Saccharomyces cerevisiae S288C: one gene and its partners. The gene in region 1 interacts genetically with each later gene. Each region holds a gene or a part of one and is shown on either strand. Other genes may lie near its edges.

Region 1 (10,556 bases):
TATTCAATGAGTACCCAGGGACCCTTTTGCATTTCTAGCATTCTCTGTTCCTGAACGATGTTTTGTTAGAGGCCTCGTATAGATCTTGGCATTTTCAAAGGCACGCGTTGTATTGTTTTATTGCCTATCAAAGGAACGCGCAGGAAACATGAAACTTTTCAGAGGAGCGTCTACGGAGGATACATTCATCAATTTTTCCTCATAAATTAAACGATGTGTACAAAAAGGACGAATTGACCCCGTCGTTCGGCGAAACCTTATGTATTTTCCTGGCCATATGTGCTAAACGACAGATAAAATAGGAAATTCTCCCCATTTTCGACTAATAAGATAAGCGGGAGATAGCATCATATGAACTTTTGCACTCAAACGAAGAAAGCACGTGAGGATTGAAGAAAACGGATCGCCGAATCCAGCGTGAATTGAGCTCAACAATTTTTAACTATATCAATCTCTTTCACTTTAAACACTACCACTTAAATCTTTTTAAAACGCTTTGCCCAATGACCCTTTTTTTATTAAGGTTGCTGAGCTATTTTTTCTATACTATTGTCAAACTCCAAAGATATTTTGAGCTTTATTTTCTTGCAAACAAAATACCCTACTGCTTAATAAATGCAATGTATACATAGTTTTCAAGGTACATTATATTTTAAAGTTACCTCAGGCCTGTTTGCCCTTGCATTCTACAGTCCCTTTGTAAGGGTGTGAGACAAAAGGCCTCGTTAGCTACGACTGTTGAAATCGTTTGAATTCGGCTTACAATCTAACTTTGACTGCGCAATTGTTCATGAATTTATAGTGTGCTTGCGAGGGGCAACTTCATACGAAGGCTTGTAGGACCCCTAAGTGCATCCATAAACATGCTCAAAGATTGTCTTAGAAACCACAAGGAGAACGCACAGTATGAATTAAATAAGTTGCGCTCTGCTAGAATATTTTGACGATTACAAAGTCAGAGATCGAAACATTTCCGCTGTGCAACTAAGTAATTTTCCCAATCTTTGGAGAAAATCAATAATCACAAGATTAGTACTTATCCTCTTGTAGGCTTCTCTCTTTCGCTATAAATAGAGCAGAAAAATATGATACAGAAGGTCGAAAGTTTGCTTCGCTGACTGAAGCTTTCTGTCAAGAGTTGACAAAAACATACAAGATTCAGTATTGATAATAAATGGCCTGCACTTAAGACTCAACCATCCCAATAAGTTACCTAGTTGTGTTACCTAAGCTAGGAAAATACACATTGAAAGATGTTTTACAAAGTATTGTAAAGGTACAATGCATTCTAGGCCGAATGTTCATTTCGGATTGTAATATGTAGTCAACGATAACGAACCTCATGGTTATGGTTATTTCTGTTCCAAATTTGCAAAATAGATCTTCATTGTCGTTGTCGGAACGGGTGGTTTATAATTTTAGTAACCATAGTAACTGAATAAAGTGACCAAACAGTATACTTCATAGCTCCAGGCTAGGAAACAAGATACTACTGCGAAACTAGCGGAAGAAGTTACGTTAAAGATCTATTAATTCAATGTTAATTCAAATTTAATATACGTAGGGATGCGAGTTATTACATTGGAAATATAGCAAATCACTGAAATACCATCATTTTGAATACATTCGTCATCGCCGCATCAGTTATACGTTTCTGCTATACCGTATAAGAATACTTGCTTCTATTCTTAGTTATACTGAATTTTAGACATTAATAAACTACTAACGGTTGCTACTACACTACACTATTCTTCTACCAATGTCGATGAGAGCGAACTCTTCAGAAAGCAGTTTACTTGAATAAATTTTTTCAAAGGCCCTCATTTCTAATGCCTTGTGACCTAGAATTTAGCAGCGTCAACTTTATGGAGCGTTATTTCTCAATTCCATCTTTGTGCCGCGTAGTTCTATCTTACATAACTTTATTTTAAGAAGAGCTTTAGTTCATGTTCTTGGAAGAATTCCTTTTTTGACACGATTTTTAACCTAAAGGCTAAATTTTATTTAAACTAACAGTGAACAAAGTATTTAAAGCTTCATATGTGAGTTGTCGAACACGTCAATAAACGGAGGTAATAAAATGAAGGATGAGGGAAAAAAAAAACCATAATTTTAGGCTGAAGCCCATATTGTGATATTTTTAATGTTTTCTTAGAAAAATTAAAAAACTTCTCAATTAAATGTAAAATTTTACTTGTTGGCGATACCTTAGAGGATTCAAATTTAACTAGTGTTAATATACGAACTGGTAACACTAATGTTTAGATACCTGTATATCATACAAACCATTCAAAGTGTATAGGAGTATGTTCACAAACCGTAGTATTATGTGCTACATGAATCAAGTATAGATTTAAAATTTCTTTCAAGTCAATTTAAATTATTTTACAATTGTTTATATGCTTGTGAAGATTATATTGTATCACTATAGCAGTAATAAAGCGACAACAGCAACGATAGCGGTACCAAAAATGTTATCTTTATCGAAATTATAGGCACCGTTGGTATTGATACTGACAGTATAAGAAGCAGATGAATGAGCAATGGAAGTAGCCGAGGAGGCTTTTGGAATTGGTGAGATGACTTTGCTGGTAGCGGTCGCGATTGGTGCAGTTAACATGGTACAGGTTCCACCTGAGCAGTTGGTCACAGTAGTTTGAGTGATAGACAATCCGGTTCTGGTAAACATGCTAATCCCTGCATCGACAGTAGTCAGGGTGGTACAGGCACCCGCAGAGCAACTGACTTTAATCGCTTTGGGGATGGTCGACTCTGCATTGTTCGATGTAGTGGCTTTGGAGTTGAAACTACTAACCGGAGACATCAGCGTGGTGCAAATACCACCCGAACAACTAGTAATAGTAGTTTCCATAGTTAGCAACTCGGTTTTAGTAGAGGCGACATCTTCTTCATTATCTTCGCAACTAATGGTAGCGGTGGTAGTTGCTTCGCTGGTGATTGTAGTAACTGGAACAGTCAGGGTCGAGCAAACACCACCAGAGCATGTTGTTATAGTTGTTTCGACCGTGGAAGTTTCTGTAGTTGTTAATGTGTTCGCCTTAGCATTAATAGTAGTAACCGGAGACATCAGCGTGGTACAAATACCACCCGAACAACTAGTTATAGTAGTTTCCAAAGTTAGCAACTCGGTTTCAGTAGAAGTGATATCTTCTTCATTATCTTCGCAACTAATGGTAGCGGTGGTAGTGGCTTCGCTGGTGATTGTAGTAACTGGAACAGTCAGGGTCGAGCAAACACCACCAGGGCATGTTGTTATAGTTGTTTCGACCGTGGAAGTTTCTGTAGTTGTTAATGTGTTCGCCTTAGCATTAATAGTAGTAACCGGAGACATCAGCGTGGTACAAATACCACCCGAACAACTAGTTATAGTAGTTTCAACGGTAGAAACTTGAGTTTTCGTCAAAACACTATCTTCATTAGTACAACTACTCTTACAGCTCGTGATGACAATTTCATCTGTTGATAGGTTTGTAAATGTTGAGGTTGCATTACGAACATTTTCTATCGTGCTGAACAGACCGCTACTGATGGTGTTGGAACTTCTGGCATCACTGCAATTACTTCTTGAGGATACTAAGAGAGGGGAACTTGATGCAAAAGATGCGACTGACGATGTAGGTTCCATAGAAAATGAAGAGACGATCGATTGGGAAACAGTGAAAGTACTTAAAGTGAAACTTGACATATTTGATGACGAAAGATATAAGGAAGAAGTCCGCTCAGCAATGAAGCTAGTGGATGTAGACGTAATTGCAGTAGACGACTCTGGAGAGGAACTGATTTCACTGAAGGGAATATTAGGAGAAACTGAATCGGTAGAGCTAGTGACCACAGTTGAAGAAACAGCAAGTGGAGTGGAAGGCGTAGCAAAAAAGGTAGTAGATTGGGTAGAGGAGTTACCAGAGACATCAGATTTAGCAGAAACAGTGGATCTGGTAAAGAAATCAGCAGCCTTGCTCGAGGAAACAACGGCTGAAGTGAAAGTGGATGTGGCAGATAGACTTTCAGTAGAAGAAATGGATTCATCAGAAGAAGGTCCAACCAAAGAAGTGGGTTCAACTGATGAACTGATCCCGCTTGAAGTAAGTACTTCAATGGAAGAAGGAATCTCAGAAGAGGAAGTAATTACACTAGAAACTATTAGTTCACTGGAAATGGTGATTTGATTAGAGGAGATAGATTCTGCGGAAGTGGTTGCTTTACTGAAAGAGAGAGGTTCAGCAGAAGAGGTGATTTCACTGAAAGTAGACCCGAAGGAAGAAACAGGTTCTGTCGTGGTCACTTGACTAGACCTGATAGGTTCAACAGAAGAGGTGACTTCACTTACAGTAGTAGGTTCAGCGGATGAAGTGACTTGACTAGACCTGATAGGTTCAACAGAAGAGGTGAATTCACTGACAGTAGTAGGTTCAGCGGATGAAGTGACTTGACTAGACCTGGTAGGTTCAACAGAAGAGGTGAATTCACTGACAGTAGTAGGTTCAGCGGATGAAGTGACTTGACTAGACCTGGTAGGTTCAACAGAAGAGGTGAATTCACTGACAGTAGTAGGTTCAGCGGATGAAGTGACTTGACTAGACCTGGTAGGTTCAACAGAAGAGGTGAATTCACTGACAGTAGTAGGTTCAGCGGATGAAGTGACTTGACTAGACCTGGTAGGTTCAACAGAAGAGGTGAATTCACTGACAGTAGTAGGTTCAGCGGATGAAGTGACTTGACTAGACCTGGTAGGTTCAACAGAAGAGGTGACTTCACTGACAGTAGTAGGCTCAGCGGATGAAGTGACTTGGCTGGGACTACTTGAACTGATATATGTATCGCTCGTAGTAGTAGTAGTTGCAGAAGTAGTGAATGCGTTAGTTGTTGAGACACTAGAGGTTGTATGGTCAGTAGAAGCCGTAGATGTGGCAGGTGTAGTAAGACTGGCAAAAGTGGTAGAGGTTGTAGCAGTGGTAGAAATGACAGAGGATGCAGAGGCACTAGAAGTACTGAAAGTGCTTGAAGTTGTAGAGGTCGTGGGAGCGGTAGAAATGGTAGAAGTGGTAGAGGTTGTAGAAGTTGTAGAAGTTGTAGGAGCGGTAGAGGTTGTAGAAGTTGTAGGAGTGGTAGAAGTTGTAGGAGTAGTCGATGTGCTTGAAGTAGTAGGAGTAGTCGATTTGGTGGAAGTTTGAGAAGTGGTGGAGGTTGTAGAAGTTGTAGGAGTGGTAGAAGTTGTAGGAGTGGTAGAAGTTGTAGAAGTTGTAGGAGTGGTAGAAGTAGTAGAGGTTGTAGGAGTAGTCGATGTGGTAGAAGTTGTAGGAGTGGTAGAAGTAGTAGAGGTTGTAGGAGTAGTCGATGTGGTAGAAGTTGTAGGAGTGGTAGAAGTAGTAGAGGTTGTAGGAGTAGTCGATGTGGTAGAAGTTGTAGGAGTGGTAGAAGTAGTAGAGGTTGTAGGAGTAGTCGATGTGGTAGAAGTAGTAGAAGTGATAGTGGTGGTAGGAGTAGTCGAAGTACTAGATTTTGTAGTCGTTGTAGAAGTAGAGGTTGGGATAGCCGTGTAAATACCATCCTTTGAAAGCGCTGAAGAGATAGCCGGCTTTAATCTGGTAGAGTACCACGGAACACCAGTGATCATTCTAGTTACTTCATCACCCGAAATACCGGTCAATCGAGTAGTGAAATCACCGTAGTCAAAAACGGCTGCTGCGATTTCCGAAGGATATGTTTCAGTCTTATGGTGATTCCGGAAAGAGTAGTACTGAAATATGTGGGCTCTGATGTCAGAAACATAAACAGCCAATTCAATAAGGTTGACTCTTTCATCGTAAGGAGATAAAGTAGTGGTCGCTGTAATAGCAGCCGCACTAGTAGCTAAGGCTACAATTCCTGCTACGATGCTTATATTAACCATTGCTTTCTTCGGAGTTTTTCGGATATCGCAGATTCGACAGGAACTGGTACTTATTTCAGTTTGAGCATACTCTCAATACAGCCATTTACACAGGCCATTTATAGGCTTTCGAACCAAACAGCTGTTGTATAAACGAATATATTGGAGCAAAATCACTATCTTTGCCAATGCTTCTTGTTTTACAGTTCCTGAACGATGGAGATCTTAAACAGATCTCGTATAATTTTTGACATCTTTAAAGGCACGCGATGTACTGTCTTTTTCACCGCCAAAGAAATGCGCAGCATGTAAAAACTTCTCCGGAGAAAACGCCTACGGATGGGCAGATCGATCGAATTTCCCCGTGCCTAAATTGTTCTGCTCTTATTATCTGTGATTAAGTGACAGAACTGCAAAAAAAGTTAATTTGATGTCGTCGTTCAATAGACATTCACATAACTTTACTCTACGTGCTATACGCGCTACCAAACAGAAAGATCACTTTTTCCCAGTCAGTAGACACTGGGTCACTTGGGGTTTAGCACACTCGAAAAGGAGTAAATATGCTGCAAACGAGAATGTGCAAGCACCATTCAGAGGATCTTAGCTCGTAGAGAGAGAGAAGCTGTTTGTGCTATCCAATTTTGATCCTAGCGCTCCGAAAAAGGTCCGTATTAGGAAACTAGATCTTGTTAATTGAAATATCTCCTCATTTTTTTGCAGCCCGCCACTCAATGCGCTTTGTAACCTGTCATAGCTTGCACAGAGAAGTATCAAAGTCTACATGTGACAAAAAGAAAACCCAAATACTTCTTGGCTATGAATGTTATCGTTTGATGATAACATCCATTCCTCCAATTGGAAAATAATTACTCACGAAGGTTCTATGCATCCAAAGCGGAACCGTTGCTTTCATTTAATAGAATCCACAGAACTTTTAGTGTGATTTATACGAATTCCAAGGGAGACCTCGACGTGTGACTTGAATTAAGAAAAAGCCTTGCCAATCATAATAGTTCATATATGATAAACGGTCTTGATTCGGGTTCTTATAGCAACAGTAACGAAAAATCTCTACCCTCATAACTTAGTATTGTTGTGTTAGCGGTCATGAAATCTTTTGTATTTCCTTTAACATATCAGTTATATTTTCTTCACGCTACGTCAGCCCCATTATTGTGCCAACAGTTTACATCCTTTGCATTCAGAGGTGGTTCATTAGTCGCCTACAGCTGCCCGTTTGGAATGACGGCCCGTAGAGGACACGTTAATAGAAGACATTCCCCGCGATTCGACGAGTACGGCGCACTCTCAATGATTTGTAAAGGTTTCATATCAAACTATCAAAATATGCGGGGCTCTGCGTAAACAGAAGCAATCAGACTACATAAGGTCCTCAGTGTAATCTTACCGTAGGCCGATATGTCTTCCATTGTGAGAATTTCTCAACATTCTGTGGTTAATCAACCAAATCATGCGATACTAATGATCTTGACGGGCATACATAATAGAAGCTAAAAAAAAAAAACTAGCCTGAAGCTTATTCTGGGGCCCATATGCTCGAAATGCCAAATTTTCAAAAATCTAGCCCTACATGCACAACAAATGATTGTGCCTGCCTCCTGGCAGGAAAAGGGTTGATATGAAGATGTCCGGCGGCCTCTTAAACTTAAGATTGAAAGACATGCTAACCTTGTTCCGTTTTAAGGATAAAGAGGAGCCTCAATAAATGTGTAGTTATCCCTTGCTAATAAAATAGTCTTATTATCTCGCCACTATAAAAGTCGAAGTAAACAGACAGAGACATGTTCGATACTCCACTTGCACTTCGAAAAAGTAATTAGGAATCCTATATATGCGATGCTATCGTTAATCTTTTACCTTCGTTTCCCATCTTATATAAGGGGATGACGAAAATACCTTTCGGCTTACAAATCCATCTGTAACAGCTGAAAAAAAAAACCAGATCTGTTGATCAGTTGTAATCGTGTAAACGAGTACAAAAGGCCAGAGACAGCTTCTACTCCAAGCTTAAGATACGTATACACAAAAGATTTTTACTTGAAGGAGTAGAGCCGAAGCGTGTGAGTATGACAGCGCTGCGTAAAACATCAGAGACGTATGTAATCTTCTTGTCTAATCCATTATTGTCAATAACTCAAGCTATATTTACATCTTTAGCGAAGTCAGAAACTTATTGTCATCCTTTCAAGCCTCGCCGTTGACATCCGCTGTCAGCATCACCCTCACCTAAAGTGTTATTACACGAAGAACTGATTAAATACGCCGAGTTTGGGATGACCTGTTCTTACCCGTTCATTCCTTTTTATGGCACACTACGGTTAGTATACGGCGTTGGCCGTGTGATAGGGAAAAATAGGGTAGGTAATAGAGAACAATTGATGAGTTTTATGTAATTGTATTCGCGCAAAAATAAAAGAATATCAACAAAAAATTTTGATTCGTTTACTTCATAAAAAAAAATCCTAAAATTTATGAAAATGATTAAAAAAAGACATCCACTTCCCCATAGTGCTAAATTGGTATGGACGTTAAATAGCTTTTATCGTCGTTGGTTTTCAGACAAATGTGTAGCACCCTAAGTGTGAGATATCATATATTTCAGAGAATATAGCACCAAGTATCGTTATGCGTTCTGGTCCGTACCTGAGAGCTGCTCATAAGAATAGGCAAAAGCAAGAAAGAGTGTTCTGTCAGGAATTTTCAAACTATTTACAAGCTAGGAAGGCTATACGTAGTAAATAACAGCCACGATTCGACGTGGATAAACAAACATCTACGAAATCCCATTTTGGCATGAAAAAGTGGAGCAAGAAAGACTTGAGGTATGAAATACTTGCAATCTTTCACATCAACACTACTTTCAAGATGTTATTGCAAACAGAAAGTGCGATTCTCTTTCTTTCATCCGGGCGTTACAGATGACCATATCTTCAGTGAGGATAACGAAAGATAAAGAGTGCTGGCTCACATTAATGGAAAAAGAAATCTACCCGCTAATTGTGATGGCTCAGAGTTTCTTCTTATGATAAGGATGTTAGTTTATATCTTGACATGTGTGTTTCTATTGTACACCGTAATAGCAGATTAGATAAACGAGAGGTCATTCGTAAGGATGAAAAAATGAACATCTGTTTAACTTTCAAGCTTTCTACCATATAGCCGAGATGAGCAAATACATTAAAACATCAAAAAGTGGTGCTTGAATGCTTATTTTATGACGCAAAGCAGATGTAATGCATCCCGAGTAAAACAGAATACTTAATTTGACTTCAGCAAAATAACTACCCAGAATGAACACCGAATTTGACATTGATAACAAGACAATCTAGGAATACTTTTACATCAGCACAATATCCATGGTGGATCCCGGCGGATTTTTCTTTCTTATTGCACCTTAATCAGGTTTACAGCCTATGACTGACTCTGGAGTGTCCTTTCCCAGTATCTGATTGTTTCCGCAACATCTATGCATATCAGAGAAGCGTTCTCATCAGTCACTTGACAAATGCTCGAGGAGCTATCATTTGCTGATAAGGTGCTACAGCGCGCTCCTGCCGCACGCTTTGTTCCTTTTCGATAAGAGTCCCTCGCGTTAGTCTGAGTGAAGTGCGGAATTCAGCAAACGAATAACAATCGACCTTATGATCATGTGGATTATCGGGGCAAAAGATTTGGCCAAGATGTCAGAGAACGTTATCACCAATCACTCACACAATTAAGTGGTAGTGTAACTCCGAAGATACGGCTAATACTTATCATTATCTGGTTTTCCGAATATACAGATTGGATGAAGTAATATATGTATATAAATGGACCAAGGAAACATCAAATTAGGAGATCATGAGGGAAAGGTTTAACATAACAACATTGAAGAAAACAACAAAACAAGGATAATCAAATAGTGTAAAAAAAAAAATTCAAGATGTCAGCGGATGCTAGTACAAATTCGAATGCTTCCCTAGACGAAAAAAATTTAAACATCACTTCAGAAGCTGAAATCAAGAATGAAGACGTAACCGCGGAGCCAGTTCTAAGCACGGTACTATCACCCAACGGTAAAATTGTCTACATCAGTGACAAGGTTGATGAGGCCATGAAGTTGGCTGAAGAAGCCAAAGAAATCGAAGTGACACCAGAAGAAGATAGAAAACTTCGTTGGAAGATCGACTATTGTATGTTTCCTTTGATGTGTATATTGTATGCTGTTCAATTTATGGACAAGATTTCCACTAGTTCAGCGGCGGTCATGGGATTAAGAACTGACTTGAAAATGCATGGTGACCAGTATTCATGGGTTACTTCCGCCTTTTATTTCGGCTATCTATTTATGAACCTAGGCCCGGTACAGTTCATTTTCCAAAGGACCAGTCACATGTCAAAAATGCTTGCGGTTTTTATTGTCATATGGGGAATGTTATTAGCTTTACATGCAGCTCCAACAGTTAAGTATCCTTCTTTCATTGTTTTGAGAGTACTTTTAGGTTGCGCAGAAAGTGTTGTCACACCTTGCTTTACCATTATCACTGCTCAATACTGGAAGACAGAGGAACAATTCACAAGAGTATCAATTTGGTTTGGTATGAACGGTCTTGGCTCCATCCTGATCAACGCAATTGCGTACGGTGTTTACATTCACCAGGAT
Region 2 (10,556 bases), on another chromosome or scaffold:
ATAAAAGAAACGAATGCCTGGCTGAGAAAGAAAAGCTAGACCAAATGTTAAAAGAAGGAACCCTAAGCTTCAGTACCTACAAGCAGTTAACAGGGGAGATCCAGCAGAAACTGAATGACTTGAAACTGGGGGACCAACGCACAACTGATATCAATAGTGTATTGCCAATAGTACGGCAACCTCTCGCCAAAAGAGATTTATTTATTAAGTCCATTGATACTGCAAAAGATTTATTAGCCAAGAACACATCCAGGACAGAAATGACGAAGAGAATTCTTTATAGACATTTGGACAACTTGGTCTCTTATAAAAACTTTTTTGAAGACGGAAGATCCTTAATAGATATAAACAGAAGACACGTTGCACATGAATCGGCCCAAATATTGTTCACCAACGGTGTAAAGATGCCCATTGTTTTTGAAACATTACAAGATTACGGCATCAAGTTTTCTAATCCAGCCATTGTCAATCCTGACAGAAGAGCCCAATATTTTAAAAGCATCGAAGTTGCACGCGATCTCATATCAAAGTCTACTAGATCAGAGGATGCTAAACGAAAGATTACTCGATTTTTGAATATAATTGAAGAATTTCGTAAAGATATTGACACCGGATTTCCACCTACTCCTTTAAAAAGGGAAGGCGTCGGAAAAGCTGTTGTTGGGCTAAGACAACAAGGACTTAAGATGGACAGACTATATGAAAATTTGAGAAGATATAAGATTCCAATAACAAGTGAAGAATTACTGCAGCAAAGCTATTTATTTCCGGTAAACGCAGATCAACGACCTCCTTCAAACTGGAACATCGTGGAAAATACCGAAGATACTAGTTCTACAGCCAATGATCTATCGATGCAAGATGAATTTCACATCTCTAATATGCATGCAGCAGAAGATCAAGAACAGATTAGGGCTCTTTTAGAGAATGTCAAACAATCTGAATCCATTATAGACGGCGAAGCACTTACTCCCGAGGATATGACCGTAAACTTATTAAAACACCAGAGGCTGGGTCTGCATTGGTTGTTACAAGTTGAAAACTCCGCAAAAAAAGGGGGTCTGCTTGCTGACGATATGGGCCTGGGTAAAACGATTCAAGCTATTGCATTGATGTTAGCAAATCGCTCAGAGGAATCCAAATGTAAAACCAATTTGATCGTCGCACCAGTCTCAGTCTTGAGAGTTTGGAAAGGTGAATTAGAAACGAAAGTAAAAAAACGCGCAAAATTTACTACATTTATTTTTGGAGGATCAGGTAACGGAAAAGTTAAGCACTGGAGGGATTTGGCAAGATATGATGCTGTTTTGGTATCTTATCAAACTCTAGCAAACGAATTTAAGAAACATTGGCCGAAAAAACTGGATGGTGAACAAAATCAGCTACCAGCTGTGCCTCATATACAAGCTCTTAATAGGTTGAAAACCTCAAATGAATACTACTCTCCATTTTTCTGCAATGATTCAACGTTTTACAGAATTTTACTGGACGAAGGCCAAAACATCAAGAACAAAAATACAAGGGCTTCTAAAGCGTGCTGTACTATAAATGGAATGTATAGGTGGGTCTTGTCTGGTACGCCGATTCAAAATAGTATGGATGAGCTTTATTCCTTGATAAGATTTCTAAGAATTCCACCCTACCACAAGGAGCAACGGTTTAAATTAGACATTGGAAGGTTTTTTCAGAGAAATAAGCAATATCAATATGATAACGAGGATAGAAAAAACGCATTAAGAAAGGTTAGAGTCCTTCTAAATGCCATTATGCTTCGTCGGTCTAAGGCTGATAAGATCGACGGCAAACCTTTACTGGAGCTCCCTCCTAAAATTGTGGAAGTAGATGAATCACGCCTGAAGGGAGAGGAATTAAAATTTTACACAGCTTTGGAATCAAAAAATCAAGCACTCGCTAAGAAATTGTTGAACAATTCTACGAGGGGGAGCTACTCTAGCGTTCTCACATTACTACTTCGCTTAAGGCAGGCTTGTTGTCATTCAGAATTAGTTGTGATGGGAGAAAAAAAAGCGGAAGGTACAAAGGTAGCTAACGGCAAAAGCTTTGAAGATGACTGGCTCAGGCTCTACTATAAAATCACTCACATGAGCGGAGAAGCGCAGGCTCAGGTTATTACTTCAATGAATTCTATGACATGTTTCTGGTGCATGGAACAATTAGAACCAGAAGCGATGTCCGTTCTGACAGGTTGTGGTCATTTGATTTGCGACACTTGTATCGAGCCCTTCATCGAAGAGTCATCCATGCTACCTCAGGCCAAGAAAACCAAAGGTGGGGCATTTGCTATCCCATGCAAAGATTGTCAACGTTTGACAAACGAGAAAGATATTGTTTCGCACAAGTTATACGACCAGGTAATAAACCAGGGATTTACTGAGGAAGATTTGCATGCAGAGTATTTAAGTGAAATGGAGAAACAAAAAATACAGCAAAAAAATGTATATGTGCCAAATTTTGAGAGTTTAGAACCATCTACGAAGATAGAGCAATGTATACAGGTTATTCAAAGAGTTTTTGATGAATCAGCAACCGAAAAAATTATTATTTTTTCCCAGTTTACAACATTTTTTGAGATTCTCGAACATTTTCTCAAAAATAAACTGAATTTTCCCTACTTGAAATATATTGGATCAATGAACGCTCAGAGAAGATCAGATGTTATCAACGAATTTTATCGTGACCCTGAGAAAAGGATACTTCTGATTTCCATGAAAGCCGGTAACTCAGGACTAACATTGACATGTGCGAACCATGTAGTTATAGTTGATCCATTTTGGAATCCTTACGTCGAAGAACAAGCTCAAGACCGTTGCTATAGAATTAGTCAAACAAAAAAAGTCCAGGTGCATAAATTGTTTATAAAGGACTCTGTTGAGGATCGTATTTCTGAATTACAGAAGAGAAAGAAGGAAATGGTCGATTCTGCCATGGACCCAGGCAAGATAAAGGAAGTGAATAGTTTAGGGCGTCGGGAGTTAGGATTTTTATTTGGTTTAAACGCTCTTTGAAGAACTTGGTGAATTTTGAAGCATTATTGCGATACACATATGTATATGTTGATAATTGGTGGCTAAGCTTCTAGTTTGTAGGCTTAAGTAACTTCACTCGTTGGCACTTACGAGCTTGGCATTTAATGGAACAGAAAATAAGCCGTAAATCGGCCCTACTTTAAGTATAAGAAATATGCGAAATTTGATATGATCGTTTGAATTACTTTTTGAAAAAGAAAATACCATTAGTAACATACAATATAAGAAGCTCGTCTCCTGGATTTGGAAATCCACAAAAGATTATCAACAATGCCACGAATAACATAATTGCTTCCCCCTCCTGTTAATTGCTTTAACTCATTATTGCATCGTTAACAGTTGTTACTAAATTTGATTTTTGTTTCTCATCATATATGTAATCTTCAAACGCCAGTATAATTATACGCTCGCAACAGCTACCATACATTAATGAACCGATGAAAATATCCCGTTTGATGATAACTGGCAATTAAATGACAGTATTAATTAATAATCAAAGCTGATCTTATATTCCTATAAAAGAGAAGCGTATAAAACACACGTGGATTGGGGGTGCTTTATACGTAAACTGTGATTTCAGTAATTTTCGCTGTAAGATCAAAGTAAAGACACATTCCCTTATATGTAAAGTTCAAATTCATTGTTCCACTAATAGACCGTCAACTTTTCTTTTGGATTTTCAGCCCGAACAGGTTGCTTATTATTAACTTCCTTACAACAAGGTACAGTCAGTGCATTATATAGATCTATACAACCATGTGCCTTTGTGTTTTCTAAGGCTATACTGAAAATAAATTGGTAATTTATAATTTCTATCTTCACGCGCTTTCTCACTAACAAGACTTGACCTCTCAAATAAGTGGCGCAGATGCTCTAGAAAAGGTTTCTTATCAAATAAGTTTTGCTCTTTAATCGCACAATGCAATGCAAGTTATTTTTTTTTTTTTGATTTAATGACTTTCGATTTCCTCTCATAGGCAACCGGTACTTATCATAAGTACGTAATAAGAAAAGTATGTCGCAGGACGTCATAAGCTCAGACTTGAACAAAAGAGTAACAAAATCGCCTCCACCTAATTTTCAGCCCTACTAGAGCCTGATAGGATATCGGCACTGAAGCTGATAAGAGAATCAATGAAAATATCATCCTCAACAGAAATACTGAAAAGAAGCGGTAGTTTTTTTTTCTTGTTACAATTATCAGCCAAACAAAAACAGTGATCTGAATCGTCAATCAAACATTAGTGGAAGAATGAAATAATCGAAATGACCTCTATATCCTGTACGACCAACAAGCTTAATAGTAGTGTTTCCTGGGACTAAAGAGTGTGTTTAATTATCTCGAATTTTAATACTAGCGAAAGATCTTGAATGAACACTAAGTATGATCATTTTATTAGGTTTTTTGCTCATTAGGCAATTTGTTTTTCACTGGAAGTAGAGGATTCCTTTTCATTATCTTTCTGATGAACAATTTCAAACACTTTTGTGTTTTCTGAACTAGTTTTTGTCAACTCAGGTAGTTCATCATCGGAGCTCTCAGGTTTGTATTCGTGTCCACTTGTGAAGCATTCGCCTAATGTGTAAGCACGGATTTCTTCTTCAGAAATTTCACTGTATGGAACCATGCCCTTCTTCCTTGCTTCTTCGTCGGTAAACGCACCGTAGTAATCTTTGTCATCATGTTTGACAGTAATTTTGAATGGGAAGAGGAGGCATAGTCCCCAATAGACGAAAAAGGAAATCAAAAAGGAGAAGAAAGAATCACCATAGAAAAAATTTATAATACCAGTGTTGTGGAAATAGTCATTATTGACTTCCCAAGCGATACCAGGTAGACCGGGAGCCATACCACACACCCAGGCAACGATAGCTCTCCAGTTGACACCCTTGGTAAAATAGTATTCACCCTTTAGAACAAAGGCATTGGTAACGGAGTATTGTCTCTTCCTGATGAGGAAATTATCACAGATCATGACAGTGATAATAGGTGTCATTACGACACCGAAAGAGCTCATAACAGTCAAGAAAGTAGAAGAAGAGTTGTAAAAGTTCCATGGCAAACAGGCCCAGGAGACGCATGCGGCAAAAATAGCACCTCTCTTAATATCAACATATTTCGGTAATAAACCAGCCAAATCCATACCACTGGCAAACCCACAGTTGGAGATGGTATATGAAATTTGAGACATTACAAAACAAAAACCACAGAAGAATGTAGCTGCACGCGCGCCTGCAGAATAGTTAGTTGTCAACCAGTTGTCAAAGATGTCCATAGGCATCCAAAATGTTTGACCGTATAATTTTTCACAAGCAGAAGCACCAATGATACCGAATACTGGGATCAAGGTTGCTGGTATTAGTAAAGCAACTATAGTACCAGTCCAGATAGCGCAATTAGAGGAACCAAATCTGGAGAAGTCACTTTGATTGGTACAGCCTGGAGAAACAGAACCGTACCAGTACGAGATCGTATAAACCCAAGCCCAAGCCTTTTTAGAGCCAGTAACTGTGGAATGAGTAGAAGTGAACAAGTCACCAACACCATGTGCGCTCTTAGTTAAGTAAATTACCATACCCAACATGGCGAAGAAAGTACCAACACACGACCAAATTAAAATATAGTTCATATGGTATGGCTTCATAAAGTAACAGAACGCGGTAAGGATATGGAAGATAATGAAGCCGATCAATTCCTTGGTGGTCATGGCAACTTTCGAGGACAAAGTATTGGGCAGATGCAAATAGTGGTGAGACCAAGAATCTAATATCATGTTTACACAAAGCCCACCTAACCAAGCGTTGGAACCATAATAGACAATACTCATCAATATTCTGATAATGATACCAAGAGCTGAACCGTAAATCCCAAAGACGAATCTTTGAGCTAGAGTGAAGCCGACCTTCCAGTCATAGCCAGGACAAGAGTTGGCTAAAGCAAACAGGATGGTCAACAAATCAGCAATAATAAACGCACCGATGGTCTCTGAGTAACTTAACCCAACAGTTAATGCAGACGAACCGCCTATCCACATACCAACGTTGAAGGACAGAACACCCCAATACGCAAAATTAGACCAAAACCCCCACGTTTGATTAACAGACTTGATAGGTTGCAAATCAGGGTTCCTTAAAAAATTCACGGAGGCCCTATTTTTAACAGGAATTTCCAAAAATCTCAAAGCCCTGGAGATTCTCGTACCGAAACTCATAATGGTGTAATGCTAGAGTTTTTTTTGCTTGATAGTATATCAGATATGAGAGCAATAGATGATGATACAAGTTCTACAGTGGAAAATAACATGGTACACGCTCTTGGCAACATTGAAATTACAGCTCTCATATATAAAAAATGGAAAGAAAAAAGAGAAGAAAAAAGAGAAGAAATGAATTCTATTATGATAGCGAATGCAAAATATTCGTCCACATTCTTTTATCTATTGTCTTCCTTCTTTCTGTGCAACTACCAGAAAAAGCTATTTCATCTAGTCGAGTAGACTAATTAATGAATTATCTCGTCTTCCATATAAATTAATAAGGCAACCAGCAGGAGACGCCTATTGTTAAGCGTATTACGAAACCTGCGGATCTGTGCGCTATTGTTATGCCAGTGAAGGAGCCTGTCATCATGCACTCATGTGCCCGCGCGCGCGCTTCTGTGACTACAACTTATTGTAGGGCGTAGTACACTGACGCCTAGCGCTCAAAATACACATATGCAGTGTGGCCGACTATGCGATGAAGCGGAACAGTCTATCTTATGTGAATGGTTGCAAAATGCCGTTATATGGATACTACGGTGCGAACACGTATTTATAATAGGATAATCTTGTATCTATTCGTTTTATGCTACTAGTTCTAACCTTTAGGAAGTGTCCTTCACAATATCAGCCCTACATGCAGTGGTCTTCGTAAATCCTGTGAGGTTTTGTCTCATTTCTCTATGCTGGAAGGGCTTCGTAGAAGATTCCGCAAAATAATGGAATTGAAGCCCTGCGCCAAGCAAGCCTCACGAGGATCGTCGGTTCTGAGACGTAACCACGCTCTTGAATCTTGTTTATGTGATCAGCAATGACGTCTTCGGTGGTAATACCATTTCATTCCGGAAAAGATGAGTTTGTAGTCGGTTAGGGAGTACCGTGGCGTCCTTTCCTATTTCTGCAAATTTGCTGTCCATGTTGGCAACTACTCTCAAAGGTGGCAACTGCTTAGTAAATAGCCATATCGCTCAGAGATACATATCAAGAAACTCTAGCCAGATGATCACGAATCCCGAAGCGATGTAATTTTCCGTGAGGCAGTCCTGAATCAGGCCGTAGATTGACTATTAGCATCTCTTTTTGAGTATGCTAAGAAGTAGAGGGCTACCTTATTCCCACACACTTTTTACCACGGGCGAAACATTTATTTTCAAGTCCCAGCACAGTGATGGGATGAAGTCCAGGATGCGTCATACGGTCCTATGGCAAACTTCGGGGAAGGTTTAATATGCTGCTTTCAAGCAGGATTAACGGTAATCAACTCCCTAGGCAAATTGGCTCAACTCTGCCTATCTATCCACTGAGGATTTCAAATCCACCGAATGGGAGAATATGTCAGTGTCCATTTTGGAGTAAGGTATGAGTTCTTTTTTCGTCAGCTTTTCTTCTATATCTTACAATTGCTTATCTTAAACCACCGATATTTTTGCAGTCCCTTCATCATCGAGCACAATGGCCTATACGTTGAAATTTTGGTTTTGGTTTGAAGCCCACTCATCTTGGCATCGCTGACGTGTTTTCTTCCAAGATTTAAAGAGGACTACTCGGTGCAGGTGGACATCTCGAATGAATATGTTACCTAGCTTGATCTCCTCCATCAAATTACAACCTTTTTGCAGTGAATTTTGATACATGGATTTCGGAGCTTAAACACGTATTAACTGAAATTCAGGCATGGCGAGAAAATTCCCATCAGAACTTGAAGAATACTCTAAATACTACTGAGATAAACCGAGAGGTGACGTGAAATTCTTCCCAGATGTTCAATATATTATGAAAAACCATCCAGCTGAATTACCTCATTTGCAGATCAATTTCAAAGGCTTCGGTTCGGGGATAATGAGACATTCTGTCCAAAATGTCCCATTTATTACAGCCTCGGAATTAAGGTGCTTGATACTGTTCTCATAAACATGTGACTGCATTGGTGGTTGATGGAGTAATGATACCACTGAGCGGTTTCAAATGCTAAAAGTCTTTTGAAGCTATCACAGTTACCCTCGGATTTGGCAGTCTAATTCAAGTGCCGTAGATACCGTGGCATTGAAATATTCGAGGCAGTTATTAGCAATGCTCAAGAGGATATTATGCGGAGTGCTACCCTATTTGCATTTTTATGATGTCATTGACGATGCGAGAAAGTCTAACATGATTAGATTGGCACCTGCACATTATATATTGCGTTTCTGAACTTGTACATTGTAATGAATGTGTTTAGGAAACCGATGAGTAAATCATAAACCAAGGTGGGATCTCATTATCAATTTTTTTTTCATATCAGTTACAATAAATATAACTTGAATAATTTTTCAATGATTGTCGAATTTCTAAAACATTCACACATTCTGAGAATAATAGAGCAAGGTTTTCGAAGATACAAACCCCATTAGCACCCTAATTTGTTGTACTTGTGTTTTTTCACCACTAGCACATCGTTTTACGATTCTTGAAAGGCTAGATGGAATAGTGCAGAGCCCAAAGGATAATATCCATAGTTAAACAGCCGTTCTTTGCGACCTGAATGATTGCTTACTTTGATTTTGTTGCATTACAGGCTTTGGTAATAGCAAAGTTTGTCGCCAAATCTGTTTTACCGTTAGAAAAGCTACTTCTCTTCAAGACGTCATTCTCAGCTTGACCTACAGAATGCTACTTATCCAACATATCACGTAAAATCTAAGATATACTATATGATAGAAGCGCAGATTACCGGATCTAAAATAATTGTCTGGGTATTTATTCATGTGGGTTATTTATCCAAGCAAGAATTTGACCCAACGTGCTCTATCTTGTTTGATTCACTAAGGTTTCTACTGTGAATTCTACGAATTTTGTGATAATGGTAGGGTTTCCATTCTTTTCAAAGGCTGTAATATTAGGTATACAGAATATACTAGAAATTCTCCTCCAGGATATAGAAATCCCCAAAATGGAATCGGTAGTTCAACAAATAATATTACGATTATTTCTCAATCTTTATGCCATCTTCTTTCACCGCATGTAATAGTATACTAGTAACACTAATACTATTTAACAGATGACATTTTAGAGTTGGAGGAGAACTTCTAGTATATTCTGTATATATAATATTATAGCCTTTATCAAAAATGGAATCCAAACAATTATCTCAAAATTCACCAATATCTTACGTTGATTCTGTTGGAACGAGAGTAATTAATAGTGACATGAGTTGCTATGGTAACAATCTAATGCTTACATCGTATATTAATGTACACCTCGTATACGTTTAAGTGTGATTGTGCCTATTGCAGAAGGAATGTTAAACGAGAAGCTCAGACCATACTGAAGCTGTGTTAAAGACCTATTAGTTGAACATGATATGGTAGGTACATATATGAGGAATATGAGTCGTCACATCAATGTATAGTAACTACCGGAATCACTATTATATTGGTCATGATTAATATGACCAATCGGCGTGTGTTTTTGAAAAGTGGGTGAATTTTGAGATAATTGTTGGGATTCCATTTTTAATAAGGCAATAATATTAGGTATGTAGAATGTACTAGAAGTTCTCCTCAAGGATTTAGGAATCCATGAAAGGGAATCTGCAATTCTACACAATTCTATAAATATTATTATCATCATTTTATATGTTAATATTCATTGATCCTATTACATTATCAATCCTTGCGTTTCAGCTTCCACTAATTTAGATGACTATTTCTCATCATTTGCGTCATCTTCTAACACCGTATATGATAATATACTAGTAACGTAAATACTAGTTAGTAGATGATAGTTGATTTTTATTCCAACATACCACCCATAATGTAATAGATCTAATGAATCCATTTGTTAGTTAATAGTTTAAATGTTTTTATCGGAAGAGGTTTTGTCATCACATCAGCAATGTTCTTATTGGTCTCGATGTAGTATACGTATAAATTATTACCTGATACTTCATCTCTAAGTCTCATTGCCTTCGTGCCAAAAAATCTGTTTCTAAATTTCTCTTCATTTGTAGACTTAATTATACTGATCGTTGATCTACTATCAGTAAGTAAGCCTTTAATAATTGGTTTCTTGTTAAGTTCTTGCACAAGGTGACTGAGGTTATTCAATAGCGGTATAGCTTCACTGACTGCGTGTATTTCTGCTTCTGTAGTTGAAGTGCATGTTAACGAAGCCTTTGTCGACTTTCCTCCAATCACTTTTCCGTTGAGTAGGAAAATGTTACCAATTTGTGACTTGTAATATGGTTGGTTACCATATGAAGCATCGCTTA
Region 3 (10,495 bases), on another chromosome or scaffold:
ACTACAAGGCAAGCCAACAAAGATTCCAACCTGGTACCAGTAACGAAACCCCAGAAGAAACCTATCAAAGGGCCATGAAAGATCCTGAAGTGGCTGCGATCATGCAAGATCCTGTTATGCAAAGTATTTTGCAGCAGGCCCAACAGAATCCCGCTGCTTTACAAGAACACATGAAAAATCCAGAAGTATTCAAAAAGATTCAGACGTTGATCGCTGCTGGTATCATCCGGACTGGCCGCTAAAAATAATACGAAATATAACTTTATTATCTTGAATTCTTTTTTTACTGCTTTTTCATACATACGTACATATAATGATCTTCTCACTTAGTATACTAAATTTGTTTCATGCTATGGTTGATATTTGAGAAATCGGAACTTGAAGATAATAAGTTTCTTGGGCGAGGGAAAAAAACATCGGACCATCTTTCCTGTCGTTCTCCGGATCAGCCCTAGGAAATTTCTGGCCGGAACTCTCCTTAGAAACAAAAAAAATTACGTAATTGGCACAACTTTACGTCAACAATATTCATTACATCAGAATGCGAAAAAAAAAAAGCGAGAATATCTAAGCTCCATGACAACATTCGCTAAGCTGAAAAAATTAGGGAAATAAACTTTTCAAATTGCTATGATATAATTTCGTTTCTTACTATGTATTTTCTACGTATATTTTTACACTCTTGACTCTTTCCTTTTTAGTAATGTGCCTGCCATAAAAAAAGGGAGATGAAGGAAAGAAAATAAAAATGGTGAAAATTAAGCTTTGTTGATTACCTAATACAAGCTGCCTGAAACTAGAAACCATAAATTGTTTCCTATCTCGTAATATTTTCGCCACCTTAGGCATCAATTTTCTTTGGAGAAGGGGGGTTGCATCCCCCTGAAGAAGTGCTTGCCATGTGCTTTGAAAACTTTTAAGATGTTACTAGTACTAATAATTATTCATTATTTTATTCTTTTAATTTCGACTTTAATGATTCAATCATTTTTTTCAATTCACTGTTTTCTTTCATCAAGCCATCGAATAGTTTTGATTTTTCTTCGAGATTTTTGATGTATTTCTCACGACGCTGCCTAAACGCCTTTTGTGCGCTTCGATTTTGGGCAGCTCTCTTAGTATTTCTTAAAGGTTTGCCTGTTTTACCGATCAACTGGCCATCATTGTTATATCTTTCGCCTTCGTTAAAAACCTGCTCTGAAAGAGAAACGGAAACTCGACGTCTTTCCTCTGAAGGAAGGTTAGTCGTGGCACTATTTTTTCTCGTAGCTGGGGTACTATTTGAGGGAAAATATGAAGCTGCCGGTTGGCTAGTAAATGTAGATGCAGTAGTGTAGGAAGATTCAAATGGTGCGTGTGATGCAGTGGTGTATGGATTAGAATTGAAGTGACAGTTTAAATGAGTATCTGATAGTTGCGGTCTAAGCTGGTATGTGTTCAGTCTTGGTAAAGACGGAGGAATCAAATTGTTTATTGTCACCGGCCTTGCAATATGTGGGCCCGCAGTATTTGGAACATCCTCACACAATGCTCCTATATTAACAGAATTTCTTCTTCCAGAAAGATCTGTAAGTGAGCCAGTTCTGCTCTCATAACCAGGCTCTTCAAGTGTTGCAATCTTTGGGAGCTGAATTTGCGGTAGAGTCACATTCGAAGCAACTACCGAAATTGTATGCAAATCAGCCTTGTTCTCCTCTTTAATAAACCCTACAGGAGGGCTTGGCACGAAAGCGGTATCCGTCATTTTTTTTGGCTTTGTACTGTCTCTTGTCATTGAATGGGAAGCTAAAATAGGTTGAAAATTAAAAGGATGATTGTCCATTTTTATTTGCATTAACATTTGAGTAGGTTTTTGGTTTTCCTTCTTGTTCCAAGCTGTTATTCTATATCTATGATGAGATTAACGGCTGCAAAAAGTCGTAGTTAATCAGTAAAATTATCTAATGAATTATTTGTAAGCAGAATGCGTGAGAAAAAATAAATCACCCAGTTCCTTTTTTATATACATGAACTTTGGTAATGATGCAGACATCAACTAGTTCTCGAGTGAGGAGGTATCCTTATCAAATCACTCTCTCCCTAGTATTGAAAGGGTTTTACTCGCCTTCTGCTCCTAGTTACGATTTTTGCCTAGTACTCCTTCCTACCCTCTTCCTCATAGATTTAATGCCAATAAAATTTTCTTTGCATGTCACCATTGGGATCGGTGAGGCAACTCCGGTTCCGATTTTTTTTTTTTCAGCGCCGTGGTATTTCCGCTCGGGAAATCCCCTCCCGCATTGCGTCAGAGCTTATCGATGTAAAGTTAATTTCCCTTTTTTTCGGTTGGGCTGGAGCACTTGGTTGCATTACTAACAAATTAACGAACAATAGTTTTAAAAGCAAGTGCCTTAAGATTTAGGTCATTCCTTCGAGGATTTCTGGGAACAATTTAAAGAATAACAGAAACTTTTGCGGCCCTTTTCATCATCTACGTGTTTTGTAAGAATGAGATCACATTCCACGTAGCCCTAAACATTGGCGTACATTTCCACTCGGAACCTTTTCTCGACCCCTCTCCGTACGCCAAGTTTTACCTTGAGGAGTAAGTCGTCAAAGGGGCGTGGGGCAGCCATTTCTTAGGAGGTGGGAAGACATGGCAGTGAGTGGGCCCTATGATTGCTGCTGCAGGGGACTTTTCAGGATAATCATGTAAACGATAAAACGGAAAAACAAAACTACGGACGTTGTTACCTTTCCATTTTGAAATGTTTCTCCGAAAAAATACCATTTTGCACAGTTCAACATTCTTGATGGCAAAAGCGAAGCATTGCGTCAACGGGTTAGATAAGTCATTTACTGTCAATTAGTACCAATACCTGTCTTTGCTCACCGAATGGCACTATACAGTGACGTTAAGATCTTGTAGTTGTTTTTCAAGAAGGCACTAAATAAGGTAATATATGGTGCCTTTCGCAATGACTCGTGTATCTGGCAGATCTATAGCTGCACACCTGATTTTTTTGCTATATTTGAATCAGGAGTAAGTTTGAACCATAATCATTCCAATTCAGTTTGATAGTACCTTTTTTTTAAAATTTTTGAAAGAGCTATCGCTTAGCTATCGGCGGGCATATTGAATTGCGCAGTAGATGAACATTTCACTAGTTGTGGCCAAAGAAGTTAGTTAAAAAGTGTAAATATGTCACAGTACTTATCCTTCTCTAAAGAATTAGTTTATTAAAAGCAGCAACAAGAAGAATGACTGTCAACCATTTTTAGGTCATTGCAACAAATCTCAAAATACGCTTTTATAGATAATCTAAGAAGATCGTTATATGGGAATACTAACAGTGAGAAAATGGAAGAAACGGGTTAGCGTAGAAAATTGTAATTAAAAAACAACAGTTTTAAGAAGGTGGTGGGCAATTAATACTTGAGGATTAATACTTAGAGCTTATTCAAAAAGAAAAGATAGAATTTCATGTAATACATGAGAACAATGTAAGGTTTTTAAGGTAACGAGTAACTAAGTTTTGAAATATCTTCACTAGCCTTGCAATCATCTTTTAGCTTTTCTATTTGCCGGATTCTTTACAACATAATCACGCTTTCTTCTAGTTGTAATTTTCCTTCTAGATGTCATTATTTCAACCGATGTCATTAATATCCTTTTATGGTGTTTACAAAAAGAAAGTTTCAAGTACCGCTCACCTACACTACGTTGTAATTCTTAGATACATAACTTTAGTTTTGTCGCCTATGTGCACAGATAAACAAAACAACCTATAAAATTTCCGTTGGGCCCTTTTGTCCCTGATTTCTGGTGTGTAACCCATTTATTTCTGTCCTGTAATAATTCGTCTTCGGTGATTGCCATATATACACAGTTTAGCTTTACTAACTATAAACATCCGAGAAGAAGAAAAAAGAAGGTCTGATTTCTATCAAACAACATGTGAAGATAACACAATCGATGTGATTGATATCAGATTTACTAGCCCCGTTGGATTGAAAAATCTGCAAGGAAGGGCTAAAGAGCAATATACTTTCTTTTGTTGTTTCGGGGTGATGAGAAAATTGTAACTTTTTTTTTTAACTTGGCGAGAAAATTGACTGGAAGAAGTGTCAAAGATAAGGCTTCTATCATATTCAAAACAAGTACCACCAAATGGCAGCTCAACTCCGAAGGCTCAAAAACAATACTTATTGATATTGCACTCACAAGCATTTTTTGTTGCGGAACGTCTTTACGTGCAAGATTAATGATCATAAGATTGCATTTTTACTACCTCCTCACTTTAGTTTACCATTTAGGACTTGTAGGTGCGTATGAAAAAGCAGCAAGAAAGAGAATTCAACCTCCCGATTTGATACCTGGTCCTCCGGGACATAAACTTGGTGATGAAAGACCACCGCATTACGACCACCGGCCACCTTATAAAAAACACATCGACAACATTCCAGCTTACAATCTGACTGATTTGATAGATGATAAACTACTAAATAAATATGAAAACTCATGCACGGTAAATGTATTGACAGGTGGCTTCATCTCTCTAGCAAGTAATTCGTGGCACTTACGTGCTTATAATTACACTTTAAATTACCCATCCTTTTTGATCCGATGCGATAATGGCAGTGCAAATCCTAATTTCTCTCATGTCTTACAAGACTTTGTTTATGACATCAACAACAAATTCAACGTTCAAGATGACAGTAGTAAATACATCGGAAAAGACCCATTTCCCTTAGGAATGATAATGATCACCTTTGCTTCTGGGTGTATCTGTGTGGCAACATGGATGCTATTTTTGGTTGTCTTATTACTGCCATCCGATAATCATAATAGAAGAAATAAAGTTGTACATGTTTACGTCCTTTTCTCTGCGATTATAAGAACTGTATTTCTAAACGAGACTATAGCCGTCATATTTGACAGCCAATATCACGATGACTACCAGGATGCGAGCCAATTTGAATCGTTCATCGTAGAAACTGCACCATATAAAATATGTGAATTAGTTGCAAATATTTTGAGTGATATAAACTGGATTTATATTGTTCACTACTTACAGTCCAATTATGGAAAACCAACTTGGAATTGGATCCCATTTAAAATGAAAAAGGGGACACATATCATAATTACCGTGGGTTGCTTCCTCTCACTAGCCGATAACATTTTATTCGCAAACCTTCTTTGGAGAAAGAACCTTGTAGTTTTGAAGGTATTTTACAAGCTAATCGAATTACTGATTTACACAATTTTCATCTCCATTATTTGTTACTTCACATGGCATAATTTTGCTTACATACTTTTACCGAAAACTGCTGAAATTAATACGGACGGTAAGTGTAAAACGAAATTGAGAATTCTTTGGGAAAATTATCACGAAACTATACCATTATTGGCGTATAATATTCTTATATTTATTTTATTCTATTTCACCACAATTTTTTTCGCTGCTTTCACCAAACATGTTAGAGGTTGGACATTTAACTTTGTTCATCTTTTGAAAGTTTTAATAACAGTGAACGTTTGGGGCTTAATTGGAGTATTGGAAAAGAGGGAGCTGCACATAAGCAAAAAAACAGTCCTTGGACGAAAAATTAACAATAGGGACAAATTTTTCGCCAATCCAACAGTCAATTATTACGGAGAAGATTTAGGCAAGCATTTAAGCGCCATAACGTTAAACAGGGATTTAAACACTACTAAAAGTAACACTACTTCCCACGATTCATCAAGTTTAGTAGGATCCCCTTCACCCACCTGGAAATCTCCAATCGAAAGAATAAGGGACAGAAGAAGAAGACATAAGATAATGAAAAGTGAGAATAAATTTGGGCAAAATCCCAGTTTTGGAAGTAAATCGAATGGCAAACCTAATACTAAAACGACATTATCCAAATATCGACAGCTATTAAGGAAGCCTAGGCGAAAAACCAATTCATATGAACCAAAAAATGGCATTGGACAGAATAAAGAAGGCTCAACTGTTAGACCAGGAGCCGACAAACATATTAGAGATTCCAATTATCTAGCTACAGACATCAGTGACAACGAAAGTATGGAAACCGAACTTCGAACCAACCACATTTATAATTACGAAAATAGTGATTAAGGCAGGCCCAGTGGACGAAAAGACATAACTGCAGAAGTACAGCTGCCTTTATTTCTTGTGGTCATTTATTGCTTTTATTTTCAAGTCAGATATACAAGAAAATCAAATCCCATCGTCAACGTCACGTATAAACGATTAATTTACAGTAATACCATACTCTACCAACATTATTTTAGTCCGACGTTCAGTCCTGTAGGTGTTCCAAATCCTTCTGGCATTGACTTCTGTGCAGAAACCCTTCAAAATGAGTTCCACTTTACGTCAGATCGCATAACAACCGGTCATATATTTTTTTCTTTTGCTAAACCCCCTACTGCAAGCACTTTTAAGAAAAAGAACAATAAATGCGTCTTTATTGCTGTGTGGAAGTGATTTTTGTCTTTCGGACAAAAAAAGGATAGGGATGCGAGAGGGCTGTGAAGTAGTGATCAAGCGGGGCCTATATAAGAAGGGCGCACATCGTCCCCCCTAAGAATAGCGAAGCGATATTACACTGAACACTACAATGTCAAATAGTACTCAATAAATATGACTGTAAAAATATGTGACTGTTAAGGCGAATGTTGTAAGGACTCTTGTCATTGTGGGAGCACCTGCCTTCCAAGCTGTTCTGGCGGTGAAAAGTGCAAATGTGATCACAGCACCGGAAGCCCTCAATGTAAGAGTTGTGGTGAAAAATGCAAATGCGAAACCACGTGCACTTGTGAAAAGAGTAAATGCAATTGTGAAAAATGTTAGGTGACCCCTACTCTTTACTTATCATAAATACATCATCATATTTTACCCTTAATTAACAACATTTATTTAACTGCATGAACTAAATATAAGGTATAGTTTCTTTTTCCCGGAATCTTTTTTTTAGATCGTTATTATTTAGACGGCACTAAGAGAAATAAATTAAACTAAATTACGGTGCGGAGCTCAAGGCATCTGCGAGTGTTTACTAACACTAAAAGAGATGAATAAAATAGATTTCTCAATGCAAAATTAAAATTACAATGTTACGCATACACACAAGTACAGATTTGTATATAGTATTTCTTCTTCGTTTTATCTGTCGTGTTGAAACATTTTGTTGTTCAAGTATTAAAAGTCTCCTGCGTTGTTAAAATCCATATCATGTGAATTGTTGGTGCCGCTCATGAGGCCGTTTTGATGTGGAATATTATATTGAATGTTATGCAATGGTTGTTGTTGTCGTGGCTGCCGCTGCCGTTGGCGTTGGCAGCTTCTGGTTTGCTTTTGTACTTGTTCACTACTACTGTTGTCACTCAACGGTTGAGATGGCTCGGTAAGATGGACGAAAGAATCCCGTGTGTCATTTGATAAATGTTGATTAGCCAAGCTTAGCTGTAGGCACTTTCTTTCTAAATGACAAATATATTCAATAGATTTCGTTAAAATGGACGCCTTATTCAATTTTGTTGCTGGCTCTAGGCCATCTAAGTCTGCTAGGTCTCTAGATGTAATGGGAAGATCGTTACATTTTTTATACGCTACTCGTAGCGTTGGGACAGTTCTCCTTAATTGTTCAATTTTATCATTAATATTGGAACGGTATTTCTTTTCAATTATATTGTGTGATACCCTTCCTGTCCTCACCCTTGTTATTCTTTTGGGTTTAACATGAAAATGTTTCCGTATAGGTGAAGTTTTTAACTTGAAGCTCATACTGTCAGCATTGTCAATATTCTCCAAATTCAAAGATGATTTAATCTCGTCTGCAGTAACTAAGGGAGACTCTGTCTTCGATAAAGGCAAAAAATTTTCAAAGCCAGACAATTGTTCCTTTTTCACGATTGAAGCTGCTGAAAGAAGACTCGAGTCCTTTTCAGATTTAAGATCGGTTTGCTTTACATTATCAATGTTTTCATTTTCCTCGCTACTAAAGACTTCCATGTTATCAATGTATTCTTCGCTGTCAATAGTATTGCCATTGTCTGTAGTCATTGTAGTACTACCCGTCGTTGTTGTAGGTATAGAAGCCAGAGCATCATTATAGTAATTACTATCAATTACTGGAGTGTGGCCTGAAGTATTAGGAAACGAGGAGTCACTATACTGGTCTGTGGCAGAATATGTGTTGTTCTTATATACAGGAGGCACGGGAGGTTGAAGATGGATGGGATGCTGAAATGGAGCGTAATAAGCATGCGTCGGAGGTCCTTGAGAACCCAAATCCTCGGTATTGTAATTTGGTGGCGGCACGTTGTAATTGTTACTTTGAAACATTAAATACATTTGGTTCGTGGTTACATTTACATTCTGCTCTTCGCTGCCATCTTGAGCACTTCTACAATCAAAAACCTTGATGGCGACTTTATTACCTAGGTCGTTCATTACAGAATTGCCATCCGAAGAACCAGAAAAAGGTTTTTGAAAATTTGGCATTTCCAATTTATACTCTTATCGTTGCTAAAATGAGTCGTGTACTGCAACTGCTCTATATTCTATATTCTAAGCGAATGGGTGGGTGGGTGTGACTAACTATTAAACTACCTAAGCGATCTCGAGAGCCAAGGCGAGTAGTAGAAATAAAACTAGAAGCGCGCTTTACAGGTTTGACCTTAAGTATGATGCGATAAGACACTTACATAGGACGATTTTTGAGGCTTACAATGTGTAACCAAGGTATATAAAAGGTGCTGCTGCTCTTGGGAAAAATACAAAGAAAACGCCTACGGTAAAAATACAATACCAGCTATTTTTTTCTTTTGAGAAGCCCACTCAAAGTAAAAATTAAACAATGATGGAAAAGAACGGAAAAAAGTTCAAACAGAAAATTAAAATACAGCAGAGAAGACTAGGCACAACAAAGTGGGATTGTGTCTACGCTTTTAACGGTGTACCCTTTTTCCTCGCCACGTTTTCACTCAGATCTAAATCTCTGCTGTAATTTACAGCGGCATAAGAAGGCACGTCCCCTGAAAGTAGGCTAGCCAGAAAACAAAAAGGCCAGAATCGGCGCGGAACTTCTCGTATCGAGAGCAAATGAGGGGTGCGGCACACAGTAGGAAAGGGTAACTGATTAACATACGTACACCCCGGCATAAAAGCTTCTGCAGGCTTTGTAGGCAAGAGACACTGCGGAGAATAAAAGGTTGTGACGCCCAATACCTTCGCCGGACTCCTTCTTGGCGTTCACAAAAGACGATGCTGCAGCATTTTTTTCTTGCGTCGAACTCGCGCCCACAGCAACGAGACGGTTCCGTTCCTTCCCGTAATGTTGCTTTGATTAACAAAATTCTCGTTTCCTCAGTTCTGTGAGCCCGTTTGTCAGCAGAGGAATCCCAATGAAGAAAATTTTTTCTGGAAAGTAAAAGCGAGCGAAAAGTTTAAGGTTCAGATTGCATCACTATTCGTTCAGTTGATAGCGAATGTAGACCGCTAGCGGCTTGATTAGATAAATAGAGTGGGTTAAAAAAAAGGAAAAAAAAAATGTGAATTGCACATGCCCAGCGCGCTCGCAAAACATATAAAGTTGTCCTCACATGCGGCGTGCATTGTTCATAGCGGGGCAAACATACTTGTGGCTTAATTTGACACATCTACTTTTAATCTTTTCTTGGTCTAGTACAATGGCTTTTTCCCAAAGTAGAAGGCTTCTTACTCCAACCGTACCCTGTCCTACTTTACTGGGCATTGATTTTTTAATTCTTGTCTTGAGGCATTTCGACGAGATTTTCATTTGAAAAATATACCTCCGATATGAAACGTGCAGTACTTAACTTTTATTTACCTTTATAAACAAATTGGGAAAGCAAGGAGATAGATCTGACTGCCGGCCGAGCTTGGCTTGACTTAGTAGTTTCGATGTCCCTTTTCTTACTTTCCTCATGCAAAATTGGTGATGAATTGAATGATTTTCGTTCATCTACGCTTTTCATGTCAATCACAATTCTCTGTGACCTGGCACCAATAAGGCTTTTTCGCAGTGATGGCCTTTGCGTGATTTGATTTTTACCATCGTTATCGTCGCAATCATCATCTCTATTTTGATTGACGTATACCATTCCTCTACTTTTTTGATTAACGTGCCGAGGAAATAGTGGTTGTCTATTTGCATTAACTCCGCTGAATGAAGATGAATATCTAAACTTTTGTAAAACTTTTGTGCACCCCGATATACTCCTCTGGGATGACCCGGGAAATGAGGTGGTGCTGCTCGTGGGAACTCTTGATTCCGCAGTTTCGCTATAATCCTCGCTAGTATCGCCATCACCGTCATCATCTGTATTATAGATTTCGTTACCGATAGTCTTTCCTTCAGAATTCTTTCGGTCCTCTTCAATGTCACTGACAACTTCAGAAACCTCTTCACTCAGGTTGTCGTCATCCTCTAAATTGGTTGTAATAAAAGAACTAGGTATTTGTGTAGATAGTTGAGACTC

Evidence for each region.
Region 2: mutations in DAN4 (region 1) and THI72 together harm fitness more than expected from each alone (negative genetic interaction), as found in Saccharomyces cerevisiae (one large-scale study listed by BioGRID).
Region 3: mutations in DAN4 (region 1) and HMS1 together harm fitness less than expected from each alone (positive genetic interaction), as found in Saccharomyces cerevisiae (one large-scale study listed by BioGRID).

Annotation. Positions count from the first base shown.
Region 1 is NC_001142.9:709,830-720,385, forward strand, and holds DAN4 (Dan4p), read right to left. Parts: upstream 5,912-10,556; coding exon 2,426-5,911; downstream 1-2,425. Other genes in the region: DAL5 (allantoate permease), read left to right, coding at 9,837-10,556. UniProt on the Saccharomyces cerevisiae protein: Component of the cell wall.
Region 2 is NC_001147.6:694,309-704,864, forward strand, and holds THI72 (thiamine transporter), read right to left. Parts: upstream 6,260-10,556; coding exon 4,460-6,259; downstream 1-4,459. Other genes in the region: translocase ULS1, read left to right, coding at 1-3,026; YOR192C-C (uncharacterized protein), read right to left, coding at 9,680-9,916. UniProt on the Saccharomyces cerevisiae protein: Low affinity thiamine transporter responsible for intake of thiamine. It is possible that the primary function is the uptake of closely related compounds and that thiamine transport is a secondary activity of these proteins.
Region 3 is NC_001147.6:382,581-393,075, forward strand, and holds HMS1 (Hms1p), read right to left. Parts: upstream 8,496-10,495; coding exon 7,191-8,495; downstream 1-7,190. Other genes in the region: Hsp90 cochaperone STI1, read left to right, coding at 1-242; CIN5 (Cin5p), read right to left, coding at 953-1,840; YOR029W (uncharacterized protein), read left to right, coding at 2,020-2,355; DFG16 (Dfg16p), read left to right, coding at 4,245-6,104; YOR032W-A (uncharacterized protein), read left to right, coding at 9,596-9,796; Rad2 family nuclease EXO1, read right to left, coding at 9,836-10,495. UniProt on the Saccharomyces cerevisiae protein: Involved in exit from mitosis and pseudohyphal differentiation.